4 linked regions of the Nothobranchius furzeri genome follow. The protein of the gene in region 3 interacts with the protein of the main gene of each other region in a biochemical or structural test. Links are inferred from orthologs where the notes say so. Each region holds a gene or a part of one and is shown on either strand. Other genes may lie near its edges.

The links. The genes of interacting proteins can lie anywhere in the genome.
Region 1: the proteins of badb (region 3) and prkacab form a complex in vitro, tested with the Homo sapiens proteins (2 studies listed by BioGRID, with this or other methods). The link is inferred for Nothobranchius furzeri from reciprocal best matches to the Homo sapiens genes BAD and PRKACA.
Region 2: of the proteins of badb (region 3) and pak1, one has a biochemical effect on the other in vitro, tested with the Homo sapiens proteins (3 studies listed by BioGRID). The link is inferred for Nothobranchius furzeri from reciprocal best matches to the Homo sapiens genes BAD and PAK1.
Region 4: of the proteins of badb (region 3) and raf1a, one has a biochemical effect on the other in vitro, tested with the Homo sapiens proteins (2 studies listed by BioGRID). The link is inferred for Nothobranchius furzeri from reciprocal best matches to the Homo sapiens genes BAD and RAF1.

Annotation. Positions count from the first base shown.
Region 1 is NC_091744.1:6,135,315-6,140,297, reverse strand, and holds part of prkacab (cAMP-dependent protein kinase catalytic subunit alpha), read left to right. Parts: intron 1-692; coding exon 693-821; intron 822-4,758; coding exon 4,759-4,857; intron 4,858-4,983.
Region 2 is NC_091753.1:60,596,661-60,601,643, forward strand, and holds part of pak1 (serine/threonine-protein kinase PAK 1), read left to right. Parts: intron 1-500; coding exon 501-595; intron 596-836; coding exon 837-984; intron 985-1,285; coding exon 1,286-1,323; intron 1,324-4,983. UniProt on the Homo sapiens protein: Protein kinase involved in intracellular signaling pathways downstream of integrins and receptor-type kinases that plays an important role in cytoskeleton dynamics, in cell adhesion, migration, proliferation, apoptosis, mitosis, and in vesicle-mediated transport processes.
Region 3 is NC_091754.1:60,872,858-60,876,560, forward strand, and holds part of badb (BCL2 associated agonist of cell death b), read left to right. Parts: intron 1-1,204; 5' UTR 1,205-1,212; coding exon 1,213-1,351; intron 1,352-1,589; coding exon 1,590-1,813; intron 1,814-3,703. UniProt on the Homo sapiens protein: Promotes cell death. Successfully competes for the binding to Bcl-X(L), Bcl-2 and Bcl-W, thereby affecting the level of heterodimerization of these proteins with BAX. Can reverse the death repressor activity of Bcl-X(L), but not that of Bcl-2.
Region 4 is NC_091755.1:58,346,890-58,352,293, forward strand, and holds the end of raf1a (raf-1 proto-oncogene, serine/threonine kinase a), read left to right. Parts: intron 1-129; coding exon 130-283; intron 284-694; coding exon 695-814; intron 815-955; coding exon 956-980; intron 981-1,442; coding exon 1,443-1,552; intron 1,553-1,626; coding exon 1,627-1,744; intron 1,745-1,922; coding exon 1,923-2,007; intron 2,008-2,097; coding exon 2,098-2,274; intron 2,275-2,342; coding exon 2,343-2,389; intron 2,390-2,473; coding exon 2,474-2,592; intron 2,593-2,683; coding exon 2,684-2,815; intron 2,816-3,292; coding exon 3,293-3,427; intron 3,428-3,502; coding exon 3,503-3,652; 3' UTR 3,653-3,876; downstream 3,877-5,404. UniProt on the Homo sapiens protein: Serine/threonine-protein kinase that acts as a regulatory link between the membrane-associated Ras GTPases and the MAPK/ERK cascade, and this critical regulatory link functions as a switch determining cell fate decisions including proliferation, differentiation, apoptosis, survival and oncogenic transformation.

The DNA of each region.
Region 1 (4,983 bases), on a different chromosome or scaffold from region 3:
GAAAAAATCATCCACACTTGCAAGGTCCACACACACACACACACACACACACACACACACACACACACACACACACACACACACACACACACACACACACACACACACACACACAGACAATGATCCCATAAAACTAGGTGAAATTAGAAATGCAAACCAAACAACTGCTTTATCATAAATAGTTGTCATATATTTCTATGGCTTCAATTTCCAGGCGCTGTTCCTGATAATTATCAGATAACTTACATCCATGTATCATAATATTCTTTAGATTTCTTACAGTGTAGTCTAAATCACCAGAAATGGAACATGTTGCATAATATATTTAGACGTTTTCACGTTTCCATGTGTATTTCTCATTAAGTCTACTGTAATATGATGTAACCTCATTTGCATGATCCAGTAGGTGGTAAAGAGTGTCAAAGTTTATATTATTACTTTAAAAATATGTTTACAAAACAAAATTTTCAAGAAAGTGAAAAATCAATAAAATAAATATTTTAAACGGCTCCCTGTAAACCAGGTGTCAGAGATTATATCTACTGTGTATTTCTAAAGATCACACATTTATATACACTAAATGATTCACATGCAGCATGCTGCTAGCACTATATGAATATAGATATTCCCAACATAACCCAACCCAAACGTCAGATTTTCACCTGCTAACCATTTTTGTTTTGTTTCTTCAGAACACTGCTAGCCTGGAGCAGTTTGAGAGGTTGAAAACTCTGGGCACGGGCTCATTTGGTCGTGTTATGCTGGTGAAGCACAGAGAAACTGGCCAGCATTACGCCATGAAGATCCTCAATAAGCAGAAGGTCAGTCTGGGTCAGGAGCTGGCTGGGTTATGGGAAAGGGAGGTGGGGCAAGGCTTTTTAATAAGTCTGTCTATAGGGGGTGTAAAGGATTCTTGTGCAAGGACTCAAATCCAGGTGCAAGCCTGATCCAAAAGCAGGAAAATAGGTATCATCTGCAGGCATTGTCTTTATGCAGATCACACTCAATACAGCAGTTTTGAGCAAAACTGTGCATGCGTTTTCTTTTCATTATATCAATAAAATCCATAGATTTAAAGAAAGTACATGATTCCCCTTACTAGACTTAACCTGTGCAAGCAGTATATATCTGCCACATGACGTTCAATGAAAAGAAAAACTAAGTACTAAATAGCTGACTGTCAGTGTCTCCTGGTGAACTTGTGAACTGCCTCATCAAATGCACGCCGGTGTAGCCCACACAAACCTGAGGAGGATAAGCAGATGGATGAATTATCTGATGAATCTCTATTGTTTGATTGTAGATCCTTTAGGTGTGGGCTCTACAAAAATTTGATCCCATTTTCACTAAAATGAAAGGTGTTGAATTAATATAACAAAATACAATTTATAGTTTGTAATGGATGTTGTTTGAACCCTCTAATGAACCAAAGATATTTAAAAAATCAAATATTATTATAGCCTTTATTCAAAAAGTAGAAAATCTCAAGGGGTTTAGAATATATTTTTACAAGAAACTTGCCAAGAAGGCCGTATAAACGCAACAAATATAAAAAACTAAAACAAATATACAACTGATGCAAGTAATTAATTACACCATGTGCTTAAACTGGTCAGCAAGTACGTGAAACAAGCACACTGATCTAAATGGACCTAAATTTCTCCCAAATTACCCATTCCTTTGAAATCCTTTTTATTGTAATCCCAGGAAACAAAGGCAGCATATTTAAATGTTTTATTCAGAAATCACATCTGACTCTGGGGGTAAACTTTTATAAAATATCATGAGTGTAGGCTATATTGGTTTTGATTTTTTAATGCATTAAAACACTAGAAGGATCAAATCCAAGCGGCAGTTAAAAACCAGTAATGGCTTCCTCTCCCCACAGTGAAACAGCCAGCCTTTTCTATTTGCCAGGTGTGTTGATGTAAAGTAGATCACCAAAATTTCATAAAGGCACAAAAAGTGAAGTAGGAAACAAGATTTATTTCCAAAATGGAAACCTCCTTGAAGCTATAATGTAGCCTTTATGTCTAAGATTTAAATGAAAAGTTTCGATCAATAATAATACCTAATTATTTATGAGATGTGACCATGAATTTAGGTTAGGTTTGCATTTAACACCAACTTAAGTTGTGTTAACCATAACTGAGCAACATAAAAGGCAGATTGCAGAGGTTGGATGTTTTAATGAAGATGTAAATGAAGAGCAAAATGCTCAAAAGTTGAATTCAGCATTTTGATAAACTGTCGCAAATACCGTATTGGTCCAAATGTAGGACGACCCTTTCCAAGACTAATCTTCAGGAAAAAACTAAAAAATGACTTTTTAAATAAACTAATTTGAGAACAAATATACAGCAAAAATACTATTTTAATGCAAACTATCAGAACTTTGCTGACATGTGAAATCAAAAGTCAAATGAGGCTTTTATTTAGACACCCTCTGTCTTTCTGTACTCACTCACTCTGCTGCGGTCCTGGTGTACCATCAGATTGTTAAACCTACCGACTCCTCCCAGAACGTCATCCTCACTGCCATCCAATACATTCGTGCATGCAATGTTTAACGGCTTCTGCTTAAATGAGTTATGTGAATCTTAAAATTTGCAAAACTCTACCTTAGTATATTAACTGCCATTGACGACAAATGTCGTCATTTGTCTCTCTTACCCATGGTGTCCCACAAGGTTCTGTGCTGGGGCCCCTGCTCTTCCTCCTCTAGCTCTATCCTCTTCAGCACATCCTGAGCTCCTTCAAAGGAATCTCCTACCATCTTTATGCAGATGACACCCAACTGTACATCTCCTTTAAGCCCCATGAGATGTCTAAGCTGCAGCTGTTACACACCTGCTTAGACTCTATCAAAACCTGGATGGCTGGGAGCTTTCTTCAGCTGAATGAAGATGAGACTGAGATCCTCATCTGTGCCCCAAGCAAGCTGGTTCCCAAAGTCAGAGACTCTCTTGGTCAGCTTGCTTCCCACACCAAACCTTCTGTCAGGAATCTTGGCGTGACCTTTGACCCAGCTCTCACCCTGGATTCTCATGTCAGTTCTCTTGTTCGCTCTTCCTTCTTCCATCTCAGGAACGTTGCTAAGCTGAGTCCCATTCTGTCCCGCTCTGAACTTGAGACAGTTCTCCACACCTTCATCTCCTCACGCTTAGACTACTGTAACTCTTTTCACGTGTCTGAGCAGAACCTCCCTGAACCGTCTACAGGTGGTTCAGAACGCCTGTGCTCGGCTTCTGACCAAGTCCTCCAAATACACCCACATCACCCCGCTTCTCCTCCAGCTTCACTGGCTGCCAGTCAACTTCAGGGCTCATTTCAAGATCCTGGTTCTGGTCTATAGGGCCTTACATGGACAAGCACCATCTTACATTGGTGATCTTCTTAGTCCCTACACCCCCAGCAGGTCCCTGAGGTCCAGTGATCAAAGCCTACTGGTTGTGCAGCACCAGGCTAAAGACCAAAGGTGACAGATCATTTGCTGCTGTGGCCCCCAGACTCTGGAACTCTCTCCCCCTGAGCCTGAGATCAGTGGACTCAGTGGTCTCCTTTTAAAAGCAGCTGAAGACTCACTTGCTCAAGCTGGCTTTTGTATGACCTTCTTCACCACTCTCTCTTTATTCTGCTCTCCCCACCTATTCCATCTTCCTCAGGATCCACTGATTTCCCTCTTTCCTATTCACTCTCTCTCTTTCATAATTTTTTTTCTTTTAAATCCCAATTGCCTATTTTTGCTAATTTTAAATATATTTTTAAACATGTTCTAAATGCTTTTTTATATTTTTACATTTTTTTTTTGTTTTTGTGAAGCGCCTCGTGATTTTTATCTTGAGAGGCGCTATAGAAATTATATTTTCTTCTTCTTCATTTTAAATCCAACCGCTCGCTGCCATTGACGACTAAAGTAGTCATTTGCAATTTTTTACTGTGTGGGCATCGAAGCGAGCCCCCGCACCGTGAGAAAAAACATCCCAGCTCTAAAGCTGATCTTCATCTGCGTTCGTCACATGTCATGTGATCAGGAAGCAGAAAATCCATGTGTTAGGAGATCGTTTTGGGCCGCTGTTGTAAAACAAGTGAGGCACGAACCAGAAAAGCTTCTGCCGATCACAATTCGACAACGGATTATGAAAGAACAGATAATGCTCGAAACGCGTGGATTCTTCCTGATGTAAGAGGTGAGTCTGCTCTTTGTTTTGGTAGTTTTGGCGTTGACATCATCGTAGAGCGCAACGTTCTGTGACTCTTCAGATAAACAGTGAAAACGCTGGCAGTGAGAGGCTTTTCTAATCAGGAAACAGCTGGCCCCACTTTTGGTCCACTCTGCGCCACATCTCTTGTCTCCATTTTCTTTTCCTGTTGTGAACATACAGCCTGGCGCCCTCTGCTGTTACGGGCGTGTGATGGTTAGACCCCGATTATAAGACGCCCCCACATTTTAAAATTATTTTCAATGAAAAAAACCTTGTCTTCGGGTCAATACGGTATTATTTACAAAGGCATTAAAGAGAAGTTGCCCTAGTATGGAACCCTGAGGAACTCCTTAGAGGCTCTTTTCCACTAACATCTTGACGGTTCGGGTGGTTTTCTTTAAAACTGAGAAACGGCTCTAGTGGGTGGGGTTGTGGGCGGACCCCAACATTATAAATTTAGCTCAACGCGATCTGTACCAACACATCTTTTATCATTGTCCTCAAAGATAAATCTGACCTTTTTTCTTCCTCCCTAATTCTGTTTGCCCTCCAGGTGGTGAAGCTCAAGCAGATAGAGCACACTCTAAACGAGAAGAGGATTCTTCAGGCTGTCAGCTTTCCATTCCTCGTGCGCTTAGAGTATTCATTCAAGGTACGAAGGAGTTTTCAAGGTGTTTGTGTAAGTGGAAGTGTTGACATGTGATTAACCAATTAGTTTCCTTAATTTATTTATTTATTTCATCTGTCAGCTATCACTCTGACTTCTAAGTACTAATTA
Region 2 (4,983 bases), on a different chromosome or scaffold from region 3:
AAGACCATTTAAAAGTCAGTAGAAAAAGCATCTAAAAGGTTATCCACATGTAAGTGAAACCACCTGCTGAAGTGATGCGGTCATAAGAGTTGAGGTGTGCTATTTTGGGAGGTTAGGAGGTGCGTCTGGGTCCTCCAGCTGGTGTAACCTTGGCTTTGCAGCTCTGGCGTGAATGAAAGGTTCCTGTCAGTTCGATGGTAAAAGCTGACCCTTGTGATTCATTACTGCTTTTATTGTCTCATTCATTTTGGCCCTTTGTTCCTTCTTGGTTTTAAACTAGATATTTTCTGTGAAGAACTTTGGTCAGCTCGGCTGTTGCTACACAAAACGCTCCGTACCATCTTTTCTTGTTCTTATTGTGTCCTGATCATTATTTATTTGAACCTCATCAACCAAAGGATTTTCTGTCGTAAGAAATTCAATATGACATTTATTATAAACGCTCAGTGTTTAGGCTTAACTACATGATGCTTTAGTTTAATGTTTTCTTTTATGTGTAGCTTATCGGAAGAAGGAGCGTCCAGAGATTTCTCTTCCTTCTGACTTTGAACACACCATCCACGTCGGTTTTGATGCTGTCACTGGGGAGTTCACTGTGAGTGTGTTTGTGTTGTCTTCTTTTATTGTTCTGGGTCACAGTTAACTTCTATACAAAACACATGCAAATAATCTTTAAATAAAAACGGGTGATTAAACATGAGCTGACGGTGGATGGCTGGAGAACTGACCCTGCCAGATAAGAGAACAGGAACATTTAATGTGACACGTATTTCTAACTGAAGGTAAACTGCGCATGTGCGTCCGTATGTGTGTGCATTTGTGCGTGTTTGTGACAGGGGATGCCGGAGCAGTGGGCCCGGCTGCTGCAGACGTCCAACATCACTAAACTGGAGCAGAAGAAGAACCCTCAAGCGGTCCTGGACGTTCTGAAGTTCTACGACTCTAAGGAAAAGGCCAACTGTCAGAAGTACATGAGCTTTACAGGCGAGTTGACGATTCGTCATCAGGAGAAAATATTTTAGTTTCTACAACCAGCAGCAGCTCAGATGCTGGACCTAACCCTCAAACAGAATTCAACATCAAGTTTGAGGAATGGATCCACGTTACAGCTCAGGGTTTATGAAGCTGATCACAACAAATAACATGATTTTTTTTGTCTGTTGAAACTGTTGAAACTGTTGGGTAAAATTGGTAAATGTTGGTAAATGTTGGTAAATGTTGGTAAATGTTGGTAAAATCACTCCTGACATAAAAGTAAACGAGCTCGTCTTTTCTTTTCCTGCAGATAAAAACACTGATGCGTACAACTCCAGCACCACCACGGTAAGACCGCATCACGTCTCTGTGGGGTTCATCTTCTTACAGTTGATGGTAATTAGGCATGGGTACCTTTGGCATTTGAGTCGATAAGGTACCAATCCCGGTACCTGCAAATCGATACCGGTACTTAGCGGTACAAATTTCTGATACTTGTGAGTGTTTAATAATAATTTAAATGCCTTTTTATATTAATGAAATATATATTTTCCCAATTTATAACCATATTTGATAAATATGATGATAAATAATGTATTTTATCATCGTAGTGTTGTACAAAGTTCTTCTACATGAAAACCTTTAACAAAGCCAGCTCCATGGACTCCTAATCCTCTTCTAATCCCTCTGGAATAAATCTGATGAGGAGACCATGTGTTATAAACTACAGATGAAACTTAAACAAACTTCAATACCTACAACAGTTTGTATTTTACAGGGTTCGTACGGTCATGAAAAACCTGGAAAAGTTATGGAAAACCATAGCTAAAAAAGTGTATGAACCCTGATTTTAGTATTGAGGTGTTTCACTAACTAAACCAACTTCAGGTACTCCTGTTCCTCTCCTTTCTCCTCTGGACCAACTGTGTGATGGTGGTCCTTGTACGTTTATAAACTGTGTGATGGTGGTCCTTGTACGTTTATAAACTGTGTGATGGTGGTCCTTGTACGTTTATAAACTGTGTGATGGTGGTCCTTGTAGTTTTATAAACTGTGTGATGGTGGTCCTTGTACGTTTATAAACTGTGTGATGGTGGTCCTTGTACGTTTATAAACTGTGTGATGGTGGTCCTTGTACGTTTATAAACTGTGTGATGGTGGTCCTTGTACGTTTATAAACTGTGTGATGGTGGTCCTTGTACGTTTATAAACTGTGTGATGGTGGTCCTTGTACGTTTATAAACTGTGTGATGGTGGTCCTTGTACGTTTATAAACTGTGTGATGGTGGTCCTTGTACGTTTATAAACTGTGTGATGGTGGTCCTTGTACGTTTATAAACTGTGTGATGGTGGTCCTTGTACATTTATAAACTGTGTGATGGTGGTCCTTGTACGTTTATAAACTGTGTGATGGTGGTCCTTGTACGTTTATAAACTGTGTGATGGTGGTCCTTGTCGTTTATAAACTGTGTGATGGTGGTCCTTGTACGTTTATAAACTGTGTGATGGTGGTCCTTGTACGTTTATAAACTGTGTGATGGTGGTCCTTGTACGTTTATAAACTGTGTGATGGTGGTCCTTGTACGTTTATAAACTGTGTGATGGTGGTCCTTGTACGTTTATAAACTGTGTGATGGTGGTCCTTGTACGTTTATAAACTGTGTGATGGTGGTCCTTGTACGTTTATAAACTGTGTGAGGGTGGTCCTTGTACGTTTATAAACTGTGTGAGGGTGGTCCTTGTACGTTTATAAACTGTGTGAGGGTGGTCCTTGTACGTTTATAAACTGTGTGATGGTGGTCCTTGTACGTTTATAAACTGTGTGAGGGTGGTCCTTGTACGTTTATAAACTGTGATGGTGGTCTTTGTAGTTTAGAAACTATGTGATGGTGGTCCTTGTAGTTTTATAAACTGTGTGATGGTGGTCCTTGTAGTTTTAGAAACTATGTGATGGTGGTCCTTGTAGTTTTATAAACTGTGTGATGGTGGTCTTTGTAGTTTTGTAAACTGTGTGATGGTGGTCCTTGTAGTTTAGAAACTGTGTGATGGTGGTCCTTGTAGATTATAAACTGTGATGGTGGTCCTTGTAGTTTATAAAATGTGATGGTGGTCCTTGTAGTTTTATAAACTGTGTGATGGTGGTCCTTGTAGTTTAATAAACTGTGTGATGGTGGTCCTTGTAGTTAAAAAACTGTGTGATGGTGGTCCTTGTAGATTATAAACTGTGATGGTGGTCCTTGTAGTTTTATAAACTGTGTGATGGTGGTCCTTGTAGTTTTATAAACTGTGTGATGGTGGTCCTTGTAGTTTATAAACTGTGATGGTGGTCCTTGTAGTTTTATAAACTATGTGATGGTGGTCCTTGTACGTTTATAAACTGTGTGATGGTGGACGGTCCTTGTACGTTTATAAACTGTGTGATGGTGGACGGTCCTTGTACGTTTATAAACAGTGTGATGGTGGTCCTTGTACGTTTATAAACTGTGTGAGGGTGGTGCTTGTACGTTTATAAACTGTGTGATGGTGGTCCTTGTACGATTATAAACTGTGTGATGGTGGTCCTTGTAGTTTTATAAACTGTGTGATGGTGGTGCTTGTACGTTTATAAACTGTGTGATGGTGGTCCTTGTACGTTTATAAACTGTGTGATGGTGGTCCTTGTACGTTTATAAACTGTGTGATGGTGGTCCTTGTACGTTTATAAACTGTGTGATGGTGGTCCTTGTACGTTTATAAACTGTGTGATGGTGGTCCTTGTACATTTATAAACTGTGTGATGGTGGTCCTTGTAGTTTTATAAACTGTGTGAGGGTGGTGCTTGTACGTTTATAAACTGTGATGGTGGTCTTTGTAGTTTAGAAACTATGTGATGGTGGTCCTTGTACGTTTATAAACTGTGTGATGGTGGTCCTTGTAGTTTTATAAACTATGTGATGGTGGTCCTTGTAGTTTTATAAACTGTGTTATGGTGGTCTTTGTAGTTTTGTAAACTGTGTGATGGTGGTCCTTGTAGTTTAGAAACTATGATGGTGGTCCTTGTAGATTATAAACTGTGATGGTGGTCCTTGTAGTTTATAAACTGTGATGGTGGTCCTTGTAGTTTTATAAACTGTGTGAGGGTGGTGCTTGTACGTTTATAAACTGTGATGGTGGTCTTTGTAGTTTAGAAACTATGTGATGGTGGTCCTTGTACGTTTATAAACTGTGTGATGGTGGTCCTTGTAGTTTTATAAACTATGTGATGGTGGTCCTTGTAGTTTTATAAACTGTGTTATGGTGGTCTTTGTAGTTTTGTAAACTGTGTGATGGTGGTCCTTGTAGTTTAGAAACTGTGATGGTGGTCCTTGTAGATTATAAACTGTGATGGTGGTCCTTGTAGTTTATAAACTGTGATGGTGGTCCTTGTAGTTTTATAAACTGTGTGATGGTGGTCCTTGTAGTTTTATAAACTGTGTGATGGTGGTCCTTGTAGTTTTATAAACTGTGTGATGGTGGTCCTTGTAGTTTATAAACTGTGATGGTGGTCCTTGTAGTTTTATAAACTATGTGATGGTGGTCCTTGTACGTTTATAAACTGTGTGATGGTGGTCCTTGTACGTTTATAAACTGTGTGATGGTGGTCCTTGTAGTTTATAAACTGTGATGGTGGTCCTTGTAGTTTTATAAACTATGTGATGGTGGTCCTTGTACGTTTATAAACTGTGTGATGGTGGACGGTCCTTGTACGTTTATAAACTGTGTGATGGTGGTCCTTGTACGTTTATAAACTGTGTGATGGTGGTCCTTGTAGTTTTATAAACTGTGTGATGGTGGTGCTTGTACGTTTATAAACGGTGTGATGGTGGTGCTTGTACGTTTATAAACTGTGTGAGGGTGGTGCTTGTACGTTTATAAACTGTGTGAGGGTGGTCCTTGTACGTTTATAAACTGTGTGATGGTGGTCCTTGTAGTTTATAAACTGTGTGATGGTGGTGCTTGTACGTTTATAAACGGTGTGATGGTGGTGCT
Region 3 (3,703 bases):
GCGAAGCACGGATCCTGGTTTTCAGCGCCAATACCAATTTCTGATTGATGGGATCTGACCTGATTAGATCTATAATGGGCCGATATCCACCACTCTCTAATAAATCGACAGACAGACACACCTGTTCAGTAGAGCTGATTTAAAGTCAGGCGCGTCCACGGGCAGCACGGCGTTAGCGCCAAATTTTATTTATGTTCCTGAATGCTCTAAAACATGTTTGTCAACTGATACCTTTTATTTATCTGTTTGATGTTGAATTCTTTATAAAAAAATTATTAATTTTGTTTCTGTAAATTGCAATAAATTAAGATTCAACAGTTACGTTTTCTTAAATGGTTATCAGATCGATGGGACTAATCAGCTATCGGCTGATCATCACCTCTTCATATTGGTATCGGCACCAGAAAAGCTCACATTGGTCCAACTCTAATAAAAATTCATCCTAATTTTTATTTTAATAATGATTACCTTCAAAATTAGGGCTGCACAATATATCATAAATATATCGTTATTGTGATATCAGCATGCACAATGTGCATATCGCAAAGATCAGATAAATATCGTCAGCTCAAATGTTTGCTACACATGATGCATGCTGTCAGTCAAACAGAAGCCTGATGTTTTTTTAACACAGCAAAGAGAACACTTCACCCATTTGGCCAACTGGATGGGTTCTCATAGGTCAGAGTCCCGACCCCGAGGCGGACGGCACCTAATTTTAATGGCTAGCAAACACCTGAGTTAGCTTAGTTCTGCTCTTTCTACTGATTCTGCTTTTCCCGGGATCCACCGATTGCCTTTTCTTATTCATTTTCTTTTCCCTTTCCTCCCATCTTTTGCTTTTCTCATCTTTATGACTTTTTTATGTCTTTGTTTTTGATTATTTTTGTTCCTGAGTTAAGTTTTTATTTATCGCAAGTGATATCGTCATCGCAATATTAATCATTGTCATCGAATATCGCAGGTTTTCCTAATATCGTGCAGCCTCATTCAAAATGATGATTCTGGAAGTAAAAACTTCCCCGTGGGATTTCCGTCTAGCATGAATTAGCGCTTGGCGATGGCTAATCTACAGATCTGCACAAATCAAGCTGGTATTTAGCATATTTAGCCTTAACGGGTACAGATCCTGTAAAATGATGATAGCCTATAAGGTTAAAGTGATTCTCCTTGAGTCATGCGAAGCACGTCATTTCTCCTCCAGATGTTACGATGGCTGCCCACTTCACGATCTCAGACAGTGACTCGGAGCCGTCGGAAGAGGTGGAGGAGGGAGAGAAGAAGCAGCCGTCAGCGGGTCAAGAGGAGAGCGTTCGCCCACACCCCAACCTGCCTGAGCTCAGGCTCCCGTGTAAGCAAACACAAGGGATTAGCGGAGCGAGGCTCCACAGTATTATTACTGCAAGCATGTTTCTGTTCTTCAAACAAATACACTAAGGACATCACTAGAGATTCAGGCAAGGTTTTCCCTCTCTGTGTGCAGTAAGTAAATAAAATAAATGTCTTGTGTTACAAAGTGAAACCGGTTCTTTGGTTGGTGCGTGGACATGTTGTCTTTCCGTGTTTTCACCATCCATTCTCTCGTGCAGTGAATGGTCGGATCAGGCTCAACTCGGAGTCCCACGTTTCCAACGTCTCCAGAGATGAGGATCTCCTGGCCAGGGTGGCGGAGGAGGAGCCTGGGACCCCTACAGAGGGGTTCCCATTCAGAGGGAGATCAAAGTCTGCTCCTCCAGCCCTGTGGGCCGCCAAGAAGTACGGCCGGCAGCTCCGAAGGATGAGCGACGAGTTCGACAGCCTGCTGGACAAAGGGGTGAGGAGACGCCTCTGGGCTGTAGCTCTAGGCGAGTCCTTGTTGGGACAGAGGAACTGGTTTGGGTAAATGGTTAACTGCCTAGAGGACAGATGAGCTCATGTCCGGTCTAAACCAGCCGAGAACAAAGTGTGTGTCATCGTCGAAACCTTTACACCACCATTAATGAAGATAACCCTTTACTGCTCCCTACACGGGGAACTTCCCACCCCGCCGCAGCAACAGGACTATAAAAACAACAAGGATTAACAATAAAACACAAGTTAGTTATATAAGTGTACAGATTGAGGATGTTAAGGCGTCCTGTTTCCTCGGGTTTTCTGGGGGCTTAAAGCTGAAATCTGGAGTTTTGTGTCAGAAGGCACCATCTAGAGGTGGAAAAACGTATTGCATCATCAGCCGGTCTTCCTGCTTCCTTAATTATGGTTAAAACCAACGCCTCTCGTCCGTGAACGCGCACCTCTGGTTGTCCAACAGAGCTAAACTACTGTGTTTTACAGCTATTATTCTTACACGATGCTGTTTATTCGTATGTATGAGGGCTTTGGGGGGACCTTAGCAAAATAAATGATGTATTCTCCGAGCTCCGTTGTCGATTTGCCATGATGTGTTGTTTCTCCGGTGATTCTGCACGAACGCTGAGCTGGAGTGGCACTACAGCGCATGTGCCTCGACTTATAGAAGGAGCGGGGCAGGAACCAAACGTGCAGCAGCAGGCGAGATTGACCACAATGATTAGTACTGTCAATAGTATTGTACTTGGCAAAGTAGATAAAGAAGAAATACGAAACACTGTAAAAAACTGTGGAAACAAACGATCAACCGATTATCAGGATCTGGACATGATAACTGTTAAAACCATCATGGAATCCGTCATTGAACCATTCACTTACATTTGTAATCTATCACTTTCTACTGGAAATTTCCTGACGCAATGAAAACAGCAAAAGTCATTCCTTTGTGTAAGAGTGGTGATAAACGTAGTTTCAATAATTACAGGCCGGTGTCACTGCTTCCACAGTTTTCTAAAATATTGGAAAAAGTATTTGTATCAAGGTTGAATAAATTCATCGAAAAAAATATTTTAAACAATAAACAATGTGAGTTTAGAACTAAACATTCCACAGCAATGGCAATAATGGAATTAGTGGGTAAAATATCAACAGCAGTTGACAATAAAAACGACTTTGTTAATGTTTTCATTGATTTGAAAAAAGCTTTTGACGTCATTGATCACTCAAGGTTACTTCGAAAATTAAGTCCGTATGGATTAAGAGGCGTGTCTCATCAGTGGGTTAAAACTTATTTAGAAAAAAGGAAACAGTTTGTTCAGATAGAGGACCATAAATCAAAACTATGTGAAATTAATTGTGGAGTGCCACAAGGGTCGGTCCTCGAACCAAAACTGTTCATTTTGTTTAACGACTTGGTAAATGCATCTAAGACACTCGGTACCATTCTATTTGCAGATGATACAACACTGTTTTATTCAGGATCAAATATTGAGGAGGTGGCTAAAGTGATAAATGATGAACTGATTAAAATTAAAAACCGGTTTGATACAAATACATTGACACTGAATCTTAATAAAACTAATTTTATTCTGTTTAATGATAAAAAGAACAGTGATGTGTCATTGGAAATAGATGGGATTGAAATTCAAAGAGTAAAAGAAACTAAATTTCTTGGAGTTCTTATTGAAGACTTGTCATGGAAATCCCGTATTAGTTACATAAAAGGTAAAATTGCCAAATCCTTAGGAGTATTACATAGAGTCAAGTTTTTACTGACTAATTCTGGTTTGTTGGCATTGTACAATTCACTGATTGTTCCATACTCGATTTATTGTGTAGAAATCTGGGGAGCGACATACAAAAGCTATACACAACC
Region 4 (5,404 bases), on a different chromosome or scaffold from region 3:
TTGACTGAGGAGAGTTAATGAGGCCACCTCACCCACACCCACACCCTCACCCGAAGATGTGGCCGACAGAAGCATCCACTGCTGGTTTGGTCGTTTTTAGCTAAAGGCTCGATTGTCATCCTGTCACAGCTCAGCCCACCGAAATTCCACCCCCCACGCCTTCAACTACGCCACATCGTACCAACCCACAGGCGGCGGTCTCTCCCAACGGCAGCGCTCCACCTCCACGCCCAACGTCCACATGGTCAGCACCGCCCTGCCCGTGGACAGCACCACCATCGAGGTAACAAGTTCTGGCTGCAGCTCCTAAAATCCCTCATGTCCTAAAATGTCGTCCTCCTCCTCTCATCTGAGGCCTTCCTGCTGTCCACTCCTGCTTCAGACCTTTATTATTATTATTATTATTATTATTATTACTACACCTGAGCACAATCTCTCTTCCTCTGACCACATTTTATTTCAGCATGTTTTAAATGCTCTTGCACATTTCCCACACTTCCGCTTGTTCACTTCCACTTTAGGCGTTATCTCCATCCTTAGTCTTGCACAACCACCTCACAAGTGGTTTCATAATCCACCTTTTTTCTGCTCAGGTAGGAATCCACATGTTCTTCCTCTCTTTCCTTGACTCTGTCCCCTTTTGTCCCTCCTGTCTCCCTGTGGGTCTGTTGTTTTGTACCCTACTGGAGAGCAGCTAGACTGCTTGAATACCTCTCCCGTCTTCTGGTGCCACAGATTCTGGCTGAAGAGGAAAGTAGGTATTGTGCACTTCTCCCAGGCTTTTGTGGAGACCTCACCTGTGAGTCCAGGACAGGTTAGAAAGCAGAGACTCTGTGTGAAGCGCATGTCTGCATTCTCATCTTTAGTCAATGCAGCCGTCAAATCATCAGTGGTAGCACGTCACATTTGTGCTAATTTGATCATTTATTCTAATATAATGTTTTTTTTCCTATAGCATGTGATGCGTGATCATGACTCTGGTAAGTACCCGTTCAGCCGTCTTCCTGGTTTCTAATCATGCACATGTAATAGTCATTTAGAAGGAAGTGATGTCCAATCAGACTCGGTGAGACACCCGTAGCTGTCCACAGTGCTTTAGCATTGGTGATCATGTTGGCGTAAGAGAAGGGATGTTAAAACCAAAACAAAGCTTTGAGAAATAAATCTGTTGATTTGGAAGTAGGCTGGTGGGTTTGTTGGGTGTTTGCCGAGACTCGACGCCCCCAAACTTCCGAATTTACTAATAGAAAGACTCCAGGTCATCAGGTGTTCTGCGTTACCCCAACCGTTAGCTGCAGAACGACCCACGGGGTCGTAACAGTGCTAATAATCACTGAGCTGTGACTTAAGTCAAAATGATGAGTGACAGAAGTAGTGGAAGGAAGTTTGATGCAGTATGAAAATTACAAAATAAAGAATAAATAACTTATTTGTTTTCACAGCGGGAAATTCCCCCAACCAGAGCCCCACAGGCTGGTCCCAGTCCAAAGCTCCCCCGCCTCACCAGCGTGAAAAAATCACCTCCTTCAGCAATCAGGAGAAAAACAAAATTGTGAGTCAAAATTTCTGACGTGTGTGTTAGCCGAAGCTTCTGTGTTCAGACCTTTTTGCTTTCTCTTCTCGCAGAGGCCCCGGGATAAGAGAGACTCCAGTTATTACTGGGAGATCGAGGCCAGCGAGGTGTGTCTGCAGTCCCGCATCGGTTCGGGCTCTTTTGGAACAGTGTTCAAAGGAAAATGGCACGGTAGGAATGCAGTTAGCATGAGTCAGAACCTCTCACACGGTGGCTTAGATGTTGACAGATGTGTTCAGGAGTTCTTCGACTCATTAAACGCGTGAAAAACTACAGCTTCATGCATCATTTCTTGTCAAACTAGCCCTGTAGGGCCAAAATAACCCAAAGTTGTGCATTTTTGTTGCAGGTGACGTAGCAGTGAAGATTTTAAAGGTCACCAACCCCACACCGGAGCAGTTCCAGGCGTTCAGAAACGAAGTGGCAGTCCTAAGGTTACAGCTAGTTCCACACCAGCTAACTGTTAAAATCTTAGTTTAGCTACAAAATAATGATTTCCTCTTCCCCTCCACCCCTGGTTGCAGGAAAACGCGACATGTGAACATCCTTTTGTTTATGGGCTACATGACGAAGGACAACCTGGCCATCGTGACCCAGTGGTGCGAGGGCAGCAGCTTGTACAAACACATTCACGTCCTGGAGACCAACTTCAAGATGATCCAGCTCATCGATATTGCCAGGCAGACGGCTCAGGGCATGGAGTAAGCTTAAAAAACAACGGCAAGTTACAGATAAATCAGATGATGATAGCTTTGTCCCTCTTTTCCAGCTATTTACATGCTAAGAGCATCATTCATCGTGACATGAAGTCCAACAGTATCCTTTCTCTGAACGTCTCACAGTGAGTGAATGAAAACGTCCCACTGTGTGTTTGGTTATGATTCCCTGACCTCAGCGCAGACATCTTCCTGCATGAGGGGCTGACGGTGAAAATCGGGGATTTTGGTCTCGCCACGGTGAAGGCTAGGTGGAGCGGCTCCCAGCAGGTGGAGCAGCCTTCTGGATCCATTCTTTGGATGGTGAGACACCTGCTACTCGAACCCTGCTGGGACCGTGACGGTGAACGAGGAAGACTCTCCGTGATGATTCTGTTGCTATTGTCATTGCCAGGCACCCGAGGTTATCCGGATGCAGGATAATAATCCCTACAGCTTCCAGTCTGATGTGTATTCCTATGGAATTGTTCTCTTTGAGCTGATGACGGGAGAGCTCCCGTACTCGCAGACGGCGAACAGAGATCAGGTAAACACCTTAGTCCCTGTGTAAGCCCACAGTCGGACGTGTGTCAGAGCTCAGGCCCACCGTGGAGCTCAGGAGGGGTGAAGGGGGTTGTGGAGCTGGCCTAAGGCCTGCCATGCAGCCCAGGCGGACTCTGTGGAGCCGCTGGCCTAATTTTAGTCCTCGTAACACAACCCTGTGGGAGGGAAGAGCATTAAAGCACGCGTGTAGATGTGTTGGTCCTCTCAGGCCACGAGGTCCAGCCTGACTTATGGAGATGAGACGAAAGCTCTGGACCACTTTCCAGGTACTTTGTTCTGCTGAGCTGCCTCTGGTGTGCTAGGTGTCTGACACCGTAGACGCACGCACTGTAACTAAAGAATGACTGCTGATTCACCATCGATCAGCTGTCCTCCCACCCTTGCACTGACCTCTGCTGGATTTTTAAACGGGATCGTTTTCCTCCTGGCTCCATATTTATGTCTCCTGTTTTCTGTTCAGATCATTTTCATGGTGGGAAGAGGCTATTTGTCCCCAGACCTCAGTAAGCTCTACAAGAACTGTCCCAAAGCCATGAAAAGGTTGGTGGCCGACTGCATCAAGAAGCTCAAGGATGAAAGGCCGCTCTTTCCTCAGGTGAGCCTCTGGTTCCAGCTGTTGGCAGGATTACAGATGTTCCTGTTGAGTTCATTCATTCATTTACTCCCATAGATCCTGTCCTCCATCGAGCTCCTCCAGCACGCTCTCCCCAAGATAAACCGCAGCGCCTCAGAGCCGTCCCTGCACAGAGCCTCACAGGCCGAGGACATCAACACGTGCACGCTGACCTCCACCAGACTGCCTGTTTTAAGCCTGTTTTAAGCTCTTGGAGAATATCGGCACCTCCTCCTCCTCCTCCTCTCCTCACACGACGGCTCTTCCTGTTCACAAATACACAATCTTAGATGCCCTACAGACATTTGTCATTTCAGACATGCTAAATAATAAATGTGTGAGTTAAAGAGAAGAGAAATCCTTAGAGGGTCAGGATATGGTACATCCCCCTATTAGGAGGCAGAACGAGGCTTCGTGTTGGTGAATTATTTGTAAATAAATAAATACACCCGTGCTACCTAAGATGACGGATGGACGCTGAAGGAGGCTCAGGAGGCACACGCCATCCTTTTGATCAAACCTCCCTGGTTTACGACGAAGAGGACTCTTATTTTTTTTAAGCTTACCTGCCTTAAGAGGAAACAACCTCAACTGTATTTCTGCACAATCTCACCTCCTCTGGTTATCACAAAGCCGTTGGAAGTTGTCCATCTTATTGCACAGTAGCAGATTACGTCTTAAATCGTAACGGACTAGACTTGGGATTTTTGTTTGTGTAACTTTACTTTTGGGTTTTGGATCCGGTCTGTCAGCGAGCGTCTCACTAGACCGAACCCTCCGCGTCGCGAGCTGGACGCTCGGCAGGTGTCTTAAATATTTAAAGTGACTTGGGAACTAATTTGTTTTGTTATGTCACACTGATGAGGTTGAATGTTTTATTTGCTATTTTAATAAAGTTAAGTGAAAAAGCCAAGAACAGATTCTTCTTGAAAACAGATGTGTGTGTGTGTGTTCATTACATGAGCCTTCATTACATGATATTTGTGGGTGAAAACTGATTGTAATCTATTCTTGTGAGCTGAAGTCCCACTCGTGTGCACAGTCTTTTATCAGGATGTAGTGTTTGTTGTGGCGCCATGGCAACAAGGTGCAGCCTCGCAGGAGATCCAGCCTACTCAGGGCTTCCACCACTGGCTGATCCCTCACCGACGGGCTGAGTGCAACAGCAGGACAGGGACTTGGCCAGGGGCAGAGGACAGTTGTACTTTGTTGATACTAAAACATTCAGCAGACTGAGGCTGTGGGACATCACAGCTCAACGTTCAGGTTTACAGTAAATACACAAATGTTTGTGTTTAGCTAAATATGGCAATGACTTAAAAAATCTTTCACAGACAAGAATTTGGCCAGATGCTTTAAAAAAAGGGCTTAATTCTTGTGAATCTTTCACACAGACGGAGAGTTCATGTTGCATCAAAAGTGTTTCTTTCTGAAACTGCCCTGCTAAAGGTTTATCTGTTCTATATCTACATCCTGACTGACTCGATGCCCTACTTCGTTGTCATGCAACGTCTTCATCTTTTTTGTTCTGATTTGAGTTTTTGCAAAAGGAAAAGTTTTCAAAACAAAATTGGTTTAGCTTAAAATAAACGTTCAGGTTGCTTACAGGTTAAAATAAGTACAAAACCTGGATTATTAGAAATTAATAATGAACATTTTTTGAACACAGATTCCGTGAGTGGAAAGCAAATTACTGACGCTTCACTGAATCACCTGTTGGTCGCTTTTCGTTACCCCCAAATACTACACGACACAAAACCCAGCCTAACCTGTCACATGAGAGGAACATCGACATCAAAAGGGCCAAAAACTGCACACCCAGCTTTAAATGATACCACAGGTGAGTAGGAAACTGGCTCTGTAGCTAATTACTGCTGCAAATAACCTTAATATAAAGTAGTAGAATAATAATATAAAACAGTATTTTGTTGGACCGCCTTTAGCTTTGATGACATCATG